Linked DNA regions of Canis lupus familiaris. Each later gene encodes a partner of the first gene's protein in a complex. Links are inferred from orthologs where the notes say so. Each region holds a gene or a part of one and is shown on either strand. Other genes may lie near its edges.

Region 1 (3,820 bases):
AAATTGTGTGAGGTGGGTTCTGGTCTGTAGAATGCTGACAGTTGAGTTCTGATGTTGAATTGTGTTCAGTCGTGTTCATATTTTAAAAACTTTTTTTATTGTATTCTCTAAGTATGCATAAATTTTCAGGAGAGCAGTTCCACAGAAGAGAAGGTACCACAATGGCTTCCAGATCAAAGCAAATGATGATTGGTGCACACTGTCACAGGGTGCTATCGCTGGAGTATGCTGGTTGGGCTCCTACCTCCAGGGATTTCTGTTCCCTCTGCTTTTGCCAAAATGGTCTGATCCTGTCCTACCTCAGACTCCAGATTCGATGTGATTTGAAGGCATTTCATTTACTTTCCTTCAGTTTTGGAAGGGGCCTTCAACAAACTGTTAATGATTCTATCCAAATAGTTTAGGAACAGCTGTATGACTCAACAGCAGATAAATATTCTTCCAAAAATAAAGAATAAATGCTTGGCAGAAAGTTACCAATATTACCATTTAAAACAATTTGTCAAAAATCAATTGTACCATTCGTTCTCGTTGTGGTAAATCATTTTGAAAACTAGTAAGATGTTATTAAAGACACATTTTCAGAGGAAAGAAGACATGCAAATTGCAGCTGAGCTTTGTGTTTTGGAAGAAGTGAGTGTGAACTTTTCAGGGATAAATCTAAATTTGGAATTAATCTTTATAGCCGTGTTTTGGTTTCCCACAGCTTGTGCCAAAAGTTTCTATTGCTCCAGAGTTAGGTACAATTAGGGTGATGGCAATGACATTATTTTGTAGTAGTTCTCCTATTACAACCTTATTTGTTTTCTGTGCAATTATATCATAGAAATAGCCTAGAATGGTATCTCTCAGTTTACAAATGTATATCTGAATGTTGTAGGTGGCAACTTCTTAAAATTAACTTTGGAAACACTGCTCTTAAAATACCCTAATAATAAGCACTGATACATTTTGATTGTCACCCAAAATTATTAGTGTAATATCTGCCACTGATTTAAGATAATTCAAAGAAAACTTTGTCTGAGAGAGAAAATGTTCTTTATGCTGTTTTGCAGACATTAAAAAATGGTCCAGGGGTTATGCAGATTCTGGGTTTGGTTCTTGCTTTTGGCAACTACATGAATGGTGGAAACAAGACTCGAGGACAGGCGGATGGCTTTGGATTAGACATTCTTCCGAAGCTGAAAGATGTCAAAAGCAGTGTAAGTATTTTGTATGAATGAATGTAGGCAATTTGAGGATTAGATGTTTTGTTTAGTAATAAGCTTGACTCTAAACCTGTTGCAATAAATGTTTCTTTATGTTCCGAATTCTTTATCTTCTGAGTCAGATAAAAGTATATGGCCATCAAAAGTTTATGGTTTTGTGAATAATAATACTTTCTAAAATGAGTAATTGTGAATCCTATGACTAATGAATAATTGAGTAGAGAACTTTTAAATAGAATGAAAAATAATGATTTTTATCATTACCATGTCTGCTAATATTTATCGCTTTGGACTCTGAGGACTACTTTTCATAAATTAGACATTCTTCTTCTCTTCTATGTTAAATAATGGAGGCGAACAGGCTTGTGCTTTTAAAACAAAGCAAAGATGGGTGAAAATAGATTGTAAATAAAATGTAAAAGATGATCCTGCTTTTCTACATATCATTCTCCCCTTTATACTGATATGTGTGAGAATGTCTAAGCCTTTTTGCAGGACTAATTAATTTTTGATCTGCTTCTATACTTGTATTTGTTTAAAATTAACATCTCAGATTATGAGAGTGTCAGTAAAAATAGAAGATTAAGGAAACAACTATGATGTTTAGAGTTAATGTCTGAGACTGTAAACTTAGAAAATAGTAGAATTCTGTTTCTCTGATAGAAGAATCTCCACACAGAACTGTTTGATAAAGGAAATTAGGGTCATGTTTTTAAAATAGTAAATTTAAGTAAACAACTGACTCATAGAAATGGAAATACTAGAATTGTTTTTCCTAGATAATGAATATAGTTCACCCTTGAATGATGCAGAGGCACTGACCTCCTGCTCAGTTGAAGATCCACACATAACTTTTGACTCTCCCAAAGCTTAACTACCAATAGCCTACTGTTGTTGATGAGAAGTCTTACGATAACATTACTTGACACCTATTTCTTGTTACATGTAATGTATACAGTATTCTTACAATAGAGTAAGCTAGGGAAAAGAAAATGTTATTAACAAGATCAAAAGGAAGAGAAAATATATTCCCAGTACTGTACTGTATTTGTTGAAAAAACCTATGTGTAAGAGGACTCACACAATTCAAACTCATGTTATTCAACGGTCAACTATAATCTCCCACATAAGAAAGACATACTTCTTTTTGTTTTTTCTATTGGCCCACAAATAATTTGCTCATTCATTCATACTTCTACTCATACATCCATTTACCATTCTTTCATTGAGTTCTGTGATATGCAACACACTGCTCTTCCAAAATTCAATAAAGCTATCATCCTGTTTTGCAACACCAGCAGCATATAATTTTCGTGATTTTTAAAATTCAGATCCTATCATATTTGTATGTCACAAGTTTTCACAGGAACCTCCAATTTGTCAACCTAATAAATCATATTTATCCAAAAGCAAAAGCTCTCTTTGAAGCACTTGAATGTGGCTCATAGTTCTTCTTCTTCAAAGCACTATGAATGTGGTTCATAGTAAGAATGATGGCTGGTTTGAAACAAGTAACATTTGCAAATAACACTGGAATATAAATATCATCAACACAATATTTAACTTACAAAAGTGGATCTGAAATAGATTCTGTAATCATAATTATATATGAATAAGGGATTATTTGTTTTTTTATTGTTTGATATATCTTATTCAATCCCCCAATAAGTTAAATTTTATTAATTTAAATAACTAAGGAGAAATCTAGATAAAATTACATAAAAAATCAAGAAGCAAGATTTTATTTTATAATTTCACTTGCAGTCTCACAATATATAAAGTCTTCCTGATTTGGTTCTTTCTCTATAAAACAAATATAACTATATCTACTTCTTAGTAGTATTTGTAGGCCTACATGGACAGAGCTGTTATTTAGATGACTTAGAATTTTCACTCAGCATGCGTATCAGCACACATTTAATAAATGCTTTGTTAATTGATTCATATACTGTTAACCATTGCATTGATATATGTTAGGAAAGAGAAAGGTAAGTTGCTTAAATTATTTACAAGCAAAGTCTCTTTCTAATAAATACACTGCTTTTATTATTGTAATATATTACTGCATAATATATTATTATTATAAATTACTATGAGGGAAGTCTAAAAGGTGAATTCATATCAAATTAAATTATAAAGGGATATTGCTTTTTATAAATAGAGGGAAAATGATGTTTAGGCTGAACACTTTAGGAGATGTAGTTTGTGTCATAAGGTTTTTAAAAATATATATATATATATTTGTCTTCCCACATTCAAATTATCTAGCAGTAATTTCAAGTGATGCAAAAAAGAGAAATAATTAAAACTTAATACCTCTAAGTATGCCAGAAAAAGAGTGAAAAACTATTCCTTGAAAACTATTAGAATAGAAACAATTCTACATGTTTTTCTATAGTAGTAAATACATTGCATTATTTATAGTAGTGAGGATATTAATTTCTCAATCTCAGTTGCTGACTAGCAATTTATAATATGCATATTTGCATTTTTAAAACTCCTGCTTAGGGGCACCTGGGTGGCTTAGTGATTGAGTGTCTATGTCTGGCTCAAGTCGTGATCCTGGGGTCCTGGGATCGCATTCCACATCAGGCTCCCTGCGGGAAGCTTGC
Region 2 (4,294 bases), about 46 Mb from region 1:
TCAATTACACATCTTTGCAGATGTTAAATTATAGCTCTGATCATCTTTAAATGAATATTGTTGCCTAAGCTAGACTACTTGAAGTAAACTTTAGAGCAATAGCTTTCCTATCTCTACACAATAGCTCAAGTATACACAATCTTTATGCTTTTTATTCTATGGGGATAATAACAGGACCTCATGGTTGTATGATTATTCAAATAACAAAAAAAATGGAATTCCCCAGCAATTGTATATACCACTAGTATTTTGACCAATTCTGTGTGGCTGGGATGACAAAATTGTTCCTTTAAAGCCAGAGCGTACTCCCACTGTATAGGGTCAACTACTGGCTTATGAAGATGATGGATGACCCCACTTTATGATTGGATTGGATGATGTACTTGGGGATGCCCTTATTTCTTGACCAGTCTTCTCCTACTTGCAAGTGATTCTTTGTAATTATAATACTGTTCAGGCTAGACCTCAAACCAAGAGGGCTTTTTGATGGTTTTATTCTTTAGTCATATTTATCCTAGAAGTCACCTCTACTAAGGTACAATTGCAAACAAAGGCTATAGCCGAGCATACAACAGCTCTTTTGGTAAAAAGAGCCTCAAAACTCACTACGGGACTTCCAGGATTTTAGACAGGACTGCAATATAAAATAAGCAAAACAGTACGCTTGCTCAGCAGGACTCTAAATACTTCCCAGGCATTGGATACACTCAATGAAGAATTAAGTCAGAGAGGGACTTTTCAAGAGCCACATCACTATTGACTGTCTACTACTGCTACACCATTTCTGGTGTGAGAAGCTTCCTCACATGTGTTGTTTAAACATTACAGTTAACTCCCACAAGGTGGCCCTATTAATTAATACGGAACATTTGTGATCCATTAAAACGATAAAGATATCCACTGATCTAGTCAACAAAATTGGTAACTGAAGGTTTTATATAAGGAATGTGATCATAATTTAGGGCCTAATATTTGTTTTATGTTTATTCTTTTGCATTAACTCCCACAAAGTTTGCTTTTTTCATAGTCTGATGGGTGTGGGGGCCATGCAGACCGAAATTTTACCACTCAACGAAAGCCTTACTATTCAGCTTCAACCTGCTTCTCCACAATACAGGCCCTCCCATACACAGAAAACATATAATTTAAGCAACTGTATTATGTAGAGCTTGCAATAAGCCTATTAATCAATGCAACTTTACACCTCCCATCCCCAACTAATGAAATTACATCTGCCAAAAGGATGGGCCATATTTTGCACTTTGTAATATGGCCTATTACACCATTCCTAAACAATTCTCGAAGTTCTGTACTAGGGGCAGGCTGGGATGGTTACTTTTCCCATTCCCAGCAGCCCCTTACTGAGAACTACCTCATCTACCCCATGTGGTTCTCATATCAGATGGGGAAACAGCCCTAGTCCTCTCCCTTGTGGCTCTCCCAGCACTAGGAAAAGTCTTAAACCATCAGATCCAACAAATTGTTTGCCTACTCAGAACTCTGAACGACAAGTCTCAAGTGTTAGATGGCCTAAATCAAGAACTAAGTGCAGTTAGGGCAGAACTTCTAAAGAACTGGGCCACTATTGATTACTACTTCAACATCACTTAAATTGTAAAGAGTTTTCACATGTGTACTGTTTTAATATAACTGACAATTCTCATAAGGTCTCACAATCAATAAATGACATTCAAGCTCAACTAGACAAAAATCAGTCTCTCCAGGATTATTTTACTGGTTTGGAAACTGGGGTCAACATTTCAGAGTTGCTGTTTTAGTCATAGAAATAACTTAGATTTTGTCTTTTTCTCTGGGTTTGCCGGGGCCTATGTCTCTTGATGCCTTCCAACATCTCCTGGGAGCCATATCTTGGACCTCGACTGACCCCTGAGAATGCCCTGCCTTTGTCCCACCACCACCACCACCACCACCACCACCACCACCACCACCACCACCACCACCACCACCACCGCAGGCCGCCCCTTTCTGCCTGAAGCAGCCAGAGGAGTCATCCCATCCTCCCATTCCCTAACGGCAGTTAGGGTTACTATTCCAGGAGGAGGAATGATGTAAAAAAAAAAAAAAAATACTATTAGCTGATTATTCATTCTGAAAGGTGTAATTTTCCTGATAGCAGAATTAACTACCCTTGACGAGATCTCACGTGAACCTTTCTCAGCACCTATCACATCCCAAGTAAATAGCCCTGGCATCTAAGTATGTAGACATTGCTTATCACGGAAAGGACCCAGCACACCCCATTTCCCAAACAAGACAAGAGCAGCTGTGCTTTGACAGTCCGTACAATCACCAGCACCCTGGGCAGGTCCGAGGCCCTACCGGAGGCGGGGGCGGCGGAGGCCGGACCCCCTCGCACCCCTCTTTGTGCCGCGGTCCTCCCCCCCCCCCCCCGCCCTGCTCCGACCTACGTGGGGCCCTGATGGCAAGGCGCCAGCACCACCCCCTGCCCCCGCCCGCCCCAGGCCCGCTCCTCCGGGTCTCCCTTAGGAGGCGGCGTTCGCGGGGGGGGGTGGGAGGGTAAGGCCCAAGGGCAGCCCGGAAAAAGGGGGCCGCGGGGCGGGAGGCGGGGCCCGGGGCGCTCCGGGGGGCGCAGGTCGTGGCCTTACCCGCCGAGGGGGGCGGCTCTCCCGCGCCGCCGGACGCCAGGGTCACGGCGCCGTCCCTCCAGACGCGGATCTGCGCGGCGGAGCGCAGGCGGCCCCGGGGCTGGCGGCGGCCGGCGTCCGCGGCGCGCAGGGAGGCGCAGCACTGGTAGCACACGGCCCACGCCTGCTCCTCGTTGATGGGCTGGTTGTAGAGCCGCAGGATGTCCTCCAGGCTCAGCGCGTCCGGGGGCCCCTCGCCGTCCGCCGGCTCCGCCCGGGGCCCCCCGCCGCCCGCCGGGCCCGCCGGCTGAGCCATCCCGCGGGTCGGCGCTGCGCACCGCCGCCGCGCCGGGTGCCGCCGTCTCCTCGGCTCGGGAGACTCGTCTGGGCGCGCCGCCGCCGCCTCCTCCCCGGAGCCGCCCCGCCCCGCCCGGCCGCGCGCGCCGCCGCCACGCCAGCCCGTAGCGACGCGAGGGCGTCCGCCGGCCCCGCCCCGCCCCGCCCCGCCCCGCCCCGCCCCGCGGCCGGGCAGCTGCGCGCTCGGTGCCGGTCCGCACGGTCCGGAGCTGCTGCGTGCGCCGCGCTGCCCGCCGCGCCGAGCCGGGGGCCGGGTCCCGCCGCGTCCGAGCAGGAGCTGGACGTCAGGCTGAAGCAGATCCCGACCAAGGCCTGGGAGCGGCTCGGCCCCGGCTCCGCGGTCCTGCGCATCTCGAGCTCCGCGCCGGTGCTCCCGGTGCACGGACTTCGCGCTGCCCCCGGCCTCGTCCCCCCGTCATCCTCCGGACCCTCCTCTGCTCTTTTGGGAGTAGCTGTCGCCACCAATATACTCTATAATTCGGGATCCCTGGGTGGCGCAGCGGTTTGGCGCCTGCCTTCGGCCCAGGGCGCGATCCTGGAGACCCGGGATCGAGTCCCGCGTCGGGCTCCCGGTGCATGGAGCCTGCTTCTCCCTCTGCCTCTCTCTTTCTCTCTCTCTCTCTCTGTGATGTGACTATCATAAATAAATAAAAATTTAAAAAAATGTTATAATTCACTGAGGAGTATTGTTTACTGAACAGGCCCTCACATCTTCATTGTAAACCCCGTGACCTTTTGTGGGTTTTGGTCAATTCCCAGATCAGGGCCTGGGATATAAACATGTAAACACTTTGTGGACCCTCGTTTCAGCGTCTTTCCGGATTCGTTTCGTAACGTTTGTACAGCTCCTCGCTAAGATAATGTCTCCTATGATCACACTCCTTCTAGTCCAGTTAACCCAGAATGTTCAGACGATTTGGAATTAATGTCACAGTGGCAACATGGAAATGAGGGCAATTAGCCATACAATGAAAGAAATACTGTACTCCCCAGAGCCTCGCTGAATTCATGAAGTCCTGCAACATAACACGATTCTTAGATAAAATAATCACTTAACGAGCTTAATTGGTAACTTTCCACTTTGAGGCTAGTCCTGTGTAAGAACCTGAGAGAGTTGAAAGCATCCACCAAGAAATTTATAGTAACTACCAATAAGACTTTTAAGGCAGTTTTGTGTGTGATATTAGATCTTAGACTCTTCACAATTGCATCTTGCAGTAAAAATTACAATGATCTATTATAAATGCTTAAGGTACTATAGTACATACAGCAGTAGGAGGGAGAAGAGAGAAAAGCAAGAGGATATTTTTAAACCAGTGAGGAGGGATCCC

The links.
Region 2: the proteins of FMN2 (region 1) and SPIRE1 are in contact, whole or in part, in a crystal structure (PDB 2YLE), measured with the Homo sapiens proteins. The link is inferred for Canis lupus familiaris from reciprocal best matches to the Homo sapiens genes FMN2 and SPIRE1. Residues at the interface, in NP_064450.3 of Homo sapiens: Ser1702, Leu1703, Lys1705, Ile1706, Lys1707, Pro1708, Arg1709, His1710, Gly1713, Ile1714, Lys1715, Lys1717, Ile1718, Lys1721, Thr1722; in NP_001122098.1 of Homo sapiens: Gln51, Pro52, Ile53, Asn54, Glu127, Ile131, Tyr134, Lys135, Asp138, Leu141, Lys142, Glu143, Asn144, Glu145, Glu146, Arg147, Glu148, Glu154, Ile157, Asp158, Ala161, Asn162, Thr163, Val164, Glu165.

What each region holds. Positions count from the first base shown.
Region 1 is NC_049228.1:31,820,510-31,824,329, forward strand, and holds part of FMN2 (formin-2), read left to right. Parts: coding exon 1-12; intron 13-1,055; coding exon 1,056-1,202; intron 1,203-3,820. UniProt on the Homo sapiens protein: Actin-binding protein that is involved in actin cytoskeleton assembly and reorganization. Acts as an actin nucleation factor and promotes assembly of actin filaments together with SPIRE1 and SPIRE2.
Region 2 is NC_049228.1:78,148,256-78,152,549, forward strand, and holds the start of SPIRE1 (protein spire homolog 1), read right to left. Parts: upstream 2,923-4,294; coding exon 2,628-2,922; intron 1-2,627.